2 linked regions of the Kluyveromyces lactis genome follow. The protein of the gene in region 2 interacts with the protein of the main gene of each other region in a pairwise test. Links are inferred from orthologs where the notes say so. Each region holds a gene or a part of one and is shown on either strand. Other genes may lie near its edges. The genes, in order: TAD2 and TAD3.

Region 1 (3,039 bases), about 680 kb from region 2:
ACTATATCGAGGCATTGAAACAACTAATAAGGCTGAAAGATCAAAAACAAATAGATTACGAGGAGCTATCAGAGTATCTAACGCGATCCATAAATGAGAAGAATAATTTACTTTCTGGCTATGGGTCAGGAAATTATTTCAAGAGTAAACTGGAAGAACTAGCTGGTATCAATCAAGAAATGGCAAGAAGAGATAAGATAGCGAAATTAGAGACCAGAGTTCAATCTTTAACGGACGAAGTCGAAAAATCAAAACAAGTCGCTGATGAATTTGAGAAAGAGGTTCTCAAAGAGGTCGAACAGTTTGAACAAATAAAAACTTTGGAATTGAAAGATTCGTTAGCTGCTTTGGCTCAAAAACATATTGATTTTTATGATGATATGGTGGAGAAGTGGTCGAAGATCGAAGAACGTCTCGAAAGCGCCTGACGGCTGGATTTTTTTTTGAAGCCTCTCACTGTGTTTCAAAACACTACAAAGGCTTCGTAACAATTACGTAGAGACATCGATTAATAAGTTTGTACTTTTGTTTCAGTATTTATGACTATCTAGCTATCTTTATGCAATGAAAAAAAAAACGAAAACCAGAAAGAGAGTACATCCATCATGTTGTGAGCATCACTAAAACTTGGAATTGTTTAATTGTGTCAAACTCAATAAGTACAATTAACACTCTGCACCTGTTCAATCAGGTCATGCAAAAAACTTTCATCGCAGCCAGTATCTATGAGATCCCAATCAATTTCATCGTAGACGTCTCTATGCGAATAAAATGCATCTCTAAACTCCTGGCCAAATTCATCTTCAAACTCTTCGAGCGTTAAATACTTATCCCATTGTAGTGGAGGGAAGGTCTCTTTATCCAGTTTTCTATCTTTCTTTGTTCGTGGTTTGGGTGCCCTATCATTTTCTCTAACATAAAAGTAACGTAGAAGCATTATAGCTTCTCTGCGCAAAACGCCGGGGATGCTCACATATTTATTAGATTTATTTGTAGATGTATCATTATGAATGCATAATATAGATCCATTCCCACCAAATCTTTCATTTCCGCAACCAAATACTACCTTCTTGATACCCAACTGTTTTAAAGCACTTGCACACATGATACACGGTTCAACGGTGACATATAGCACAACTTCAGAAAGTATTTTAGGGTCCGTCCCATATTTCTCTTGAATTTGCTTTATGCCCATAAATTCAGCATGTGAGATGCCGCTGATCGACTCATTGGTACCATTCATCCCATATGCAATGACTTTGTTTAATTTTGAATGTACAAAAATACAGGCAACAGGGGTTTCTTCATGATCTAAAGCATATTTCGCCAGCGTAATGGCTGTACGCATATGCAGAAGGTCCTGGGACATCGTTTATAGTCGTTGCTGAATATTTCACCACGGTTTCTCTTGCATGCGCTGCTTTTTCTTGCTCATCGGAACTGCCTGGAAACGTTATATAGTTTCTTTTCGAACATACATTCCTCAATATTAACCTTATAAGAAATATTGACAGAACAGTAGAACAAACGACGAATTAAAGATAAAGAAATATGTATCGAGTCTATGAAATTATCTATGCTATCTTGTCTGTAATTCTAAGATTAGACACTAACTCCCAATGATGTGTTGATTTCTTCAACAATAGGTCTGATAATATCTTTCTTGTTTGGAACCATATGACCACCTGGATGCTCATAAGCCTTACAGTCATCTAACTCTTGACCTTTAGTGTAAATGTTGTATAAATACTTCGCTCTTTCACATGGAACAGCCATATCTGCGGTACCATAAACAAACAGCATCTTGGTAGTACGGTCATCCATAGGTTTGAAAGAATCTTGGAATTTTTGAGAGATTCTTAATTGTCCCTCATTTTCTGGATCTGGTTCAGTGAAAGAGTAAGCAGCGATCAACAAGGACACCTTGAACTGAGGATGAGATGGGACCAATTCGGTGATTTTGTTAGTGATGATAGAAGCCAATGCAGCACCTTGACTAAACCCAACAATACCGTCGTATGGACCATTATCCTTGATATATTTAGTGACAGCTTCAATAGCTGGGCTTAAATCCAATTCAGATGAGATGTCGCTATGATAGAACCATGCTCTGTTAACACCTGCATTAAGGGTTTCTTGCCACTTTGCATCGTCCATTTCGAAAGGCAAGTCTTTCTTTTCAAGGATCACTGGCGCATCCATGTAATCACATTGAACATTAGATTTCTTCAGTAGCTTTCTAATACCAGAAGACTTCTCACTGAAGACTTTACCATTTTGTAAGAAGCCTTGCAGAAACAGTAATTTTGGAGCAGCAGTTGCTGTAGTCATTAGTCCTGGATTTGTGAGATGTTGTCTTTATTTGTCGGTCAATTAGCAAAGGCTAGCCTCTTTACTTTCCAGTATTAACAGCTAGAAGTATGAACTTGATGTAGACATTTATTCACATATATATCCATTCTCTTAACTCCGAGAGGAAAAAAGCTTCAACTATAGGCTAAACCAACAAGGGTCAGCAGCTTAGGATTTCCACAACTTTTTAGACATGAAAATTACTATTTTTAATAAGACTATACCGCATACTCATTAGCTAACTGAATAATGAAGTTTGAGAATGACGGCCAAGCGATAGGGTAGTCAACTCGTCACTACCCTCTTAATCATCTACTGAAAGGTGTCTCTATTTCTACGTAGCGAAAAAAAATATTTAGTAAAAATATCGATTTCACAACAGCATTTCAATGCAAAACATGATAGAGGTGATGCTGGGTAAAGGTAAACGGACCGCCGTCGATACCGCAGTTTTATAAGATGTTCGGACACGTACCAAAGATACTGAACGGTATACGAGGCGCGTGGGCTAGGCCAATGGCTGCCTCCAGGTCTCTGTTCACTCATACAAAGTTCCATTGTAACAAATGTGAACGTACAAAAAACCATCTGTTATCGTATGTATTAACAAAGGGGACATGGTGCATTTGAAAGAAGAGGACATACAGCACCGTTTGCGAATGAGATCAGGTATCTTAGAAGCCGTGT
Region 2 (3,093 bases):
TATCATGACGAATATAAACTATATCGACAGTCGACGATAGTTCTGTCACATAGAAAAATGTAGATAGTAATTTTGGGACGTAACAGGAAAGGATCCAAAAAAACAGTTTATAAAGAAGCGCTTGTCGATTTTTCACATCATAATATGGAATCTTTTGAGTTTGTTCACCAGCTGGAAGCCGCCTTGTTTCTAGCCATTTGACATCTTTCACACGCAATCCTTTACATAATTCATCAAATAGTATCTTTGAATGGAGCGGTTTTTTGACAAGTATTGCAATCGCTTTTGATAGAACGCTATAGTTTGAATTTGATCCTAACAGGTCCAATGGGAACGTTTTTCTAACACATACAATGAGCAGTTTGATGACACTTTTGGGTGATGAATAGAAAGTATCTGATTTGGGGCATATATTATTGATGATGTGTCTATATGAAAACCTCTCGTGAGCTCGAATGAGCTCATATAAAATGGGTTTTAGATTATTCAATGCAAAGTTTAGAGAACGAGGTGTCTTACTGCTCTCTGATATTTTCGGAAAAATCTCAGCTATTAACAGCCCCTGATCAGTCTCAATGATATTCTTGTAATCTTGCGGTCTTATCTTATGATATAGAGCAGAGTTCCAATCTATCGTTAGCTTAGTATTTCTTTCCCTCCTATACGACCGATCTAGCCATGCAGGTGGCACCTGAGGCGCGTTAGCGGGGGTTCCAATTATCTGCCTGAAGTAATGGCCGGTGTTGAAATATACGGAATAGTTGATTAACAAATTCACAAAATTGTCAGTGCCAACCAGCTGATGGAACAATCTCCAGCTATTACATTTCAATACACTTACGCTTATGTTCGATGAACGGCAAAACAGTTTGGTCATGACATCTGAATTCTTTCCCAGCTGGTAACCATAAGTCAGTATATTATTCGTAAAATTCTTGTGCAAAAGGTAGAGAATGCATGTTTCTATAGTTTCACAGTGATACGATGAGCTGAAAGTAGAAGATATTTCAATTTCAGGAGGTACGCAATGTTTGCTGTTAACTTGTGCGAAACAGCTGAGTAACAGATTGGATACCCCATTAGAGTCAGCATTGATCAGAATATCCGATTTTCTGAGGGTTTCATAGCACTCTAAAGATTCCAAATATTCGACAAGAATTTTCATCTAAACCAATTGATATAGGTCATTATTCGAAGTCACCTTAGTCATCTCGATGATCAATTTAAGGTTCTTATTAATTATTCTCAGTGTTCATCTTTCTTACGAGCATGATCTAAACTGGTAAATAGTGTTTCGTAGCCTATAATTTCTGGATATGAATTTTTCAATGATAGAAATGTAAGATGCGATGCGATGAGATGATATACTAATATGTAAAGGGTAAAGGAAATGGATGCTTAATTATAGCTCTAGATTTACTAGTTATTCACATGAAAAGCTAACAGTATGGTTAAGAAACATCTGAACCCCACTAAGATCGATTTTATAAAATGCATCGTCGAAGATTGCCTCTGGCAAATTCGAGATACCAAAAACGTTGATGTGCCTGATCTAGTTGAGGCTTGGTCTATCGAAGTACGTCCAAGGGAAAGTAAGTCAGTGATACCATTCGTACGAGGTATTCAGGATAATGACCCCGTTTCATTCCTTCATGTGAAACGGATCAAGAAGCTTGATAGCGACACACTACGAGTACTTATCGGCTCCAAAGAGTACATACCGGATAGATCAACTTTTGACAATATGCTGAAAGGAGTCGTTTTCCAGTATGACAATGTGAAAGACGATAACAAAGTACCGAAGGTCGGTCCATCGACTAAAAGCTTAATGTTGAAGTGGAGTGAACAGTATTGGCCGTTAATTTGGAGAGGAAATCCTAATGACCAGATATTAAACGACTATATATTTGACATGACAGAGATTCGGTCATTGTTAACCAAGATAGCAGAAGAGTCTCGAGCAATCCGAGATTCGGATAGCATGCAACTTCCAATAGTATCGGCATTCGTTAATCCAAAATCTGGTAAAATTATAATATCAAAGGATTATAGACATAGTGGATCTCCCCTCGATCACAGTGTTATGGTCGGAATAAATGAGGTAGCTAAAGAAGAGCAGGAGAGAAGAGACCGTGTCCAAAACGGTACCGCGTCAGAAAAAGATATACATCAAGGGGAAACTTATCTCTGCTTAGATTTTGACGTATACACCAGTCATGAGCCGTGCTCAATGTGCAGCATGGCACTAATTCATTCCAGAGTGAAAAGATGCATATTCATCAATCCTATGTCGGTCAGCGGTGCACTGAAACCTGATTCAGGTGATGGATACTGCATGCATTCAAACAAAGATTTGAACTCCAAGTATGAAGTCTTCCAATGGGTTGGTGAAGAATTGGAAGTGCCTGGAATAGATTCTACCGTGTGTTCTTGAGCTTTTCAACTAGAAGGTTGGTTGGTTTCCATGTCCGTTATTAATTTTGCAACATTATCGTACATGGAAGTATCTATTGCTTCAATGTCACTGAGTTCCATTGCATATTTCAAAAGTTTTGTATTTTTATTATCTAGTTCAATGTTTAATTGATTTAAATGCTGCTGCAACATATCATCAATGCTATGCAATAGTTTATTTACTTCCTCGAGAGAAATGGAGTCTTCAATTTGTTCCCGTTCGAGCTCAACTCTTATCAAAGACAGCTTGTTGTCGATGAGTTTATCTATTTTTTCAATGATCCGTTGATCATTCTCTTCATAACTTTTGTATAACTGTGACGCGATCACAGTGTTGGATTCCGGTATCGTTCTAGAAAATAGATCAACAAACTGATCCTCAGTATACAAACGTGAGACTAAAATGCCGTCTAAATGCTTGTATAATACTTCGTGGAGCATAGTAATTGAAGTAATAAGGATTTCGGGTATGTACTTTTTATTATTCCCAGCGTACGCATTACTGATTCGCGATGATCTTTGATCTTTTTCTATTTGTTGTGGAGATTTTTGGCGACTAAATAAATAATAGTCTGACGAAAAGGAAGAGTATTTGTGCAAAACCACAGATGACGGTGGTATTAATACATTAATGATACA

The links.
Region 1: the proteins of TAD3 (region 2) and TAD2 interact in binary tests that used the Saccharomyces cerevisiae proteins (3 or more experiments, as listed by UniProt). The link is inferred for Kluyveromyces lactis from reciprocal best matches to the Saccharomyces cerevisiae genes TAD3 and TAD2.

Annotation. Positions count from the first base shown.
Region 1 is NC_006039.1:944,087-947,125, forward strand, and holds TAD2 (tRNA(adenine34) deaminase), read right to left. Parts: upstream 1,370-3,039; coding exon 653-1,369; downstream 1-652. Other genes in the region: SNX4 (Snx4p), read left to right, coding at 1-428; FSH1 (putative serine hydrolase), read right to left, coding at 1,603-2,331. UniProt on the Saccharomyces cerevisiae protein: Structural subunit of tRNA-specific adenosine deaminase, which deaminates adenosine-34 (the first, also called wobble position of the anticodon) to inosine in many tRNAs.
Region 2 is NC_006039.1:1,626,286-1,629,378, forward strand, and holds TAD3 (Tad3p), read left to right. Parts: upstream 1-1,447; coding exon 1,448-2,434; downstream 2,435-3,093. Other genes in the region: EST2 (telomerase reverse transcriptase), read right to left, coding at 1-1,165; NKP2 (Nkp2p), read right to left, coding at 2,440-2,895. UniProt on the Saccharomyces cerevisiae protein: Structural subunit of tRNA-specific adenosine deaminase, which deaminates adenosine-34 (the first, also called wobble position of the anticodon) to inosine in many tRNAs.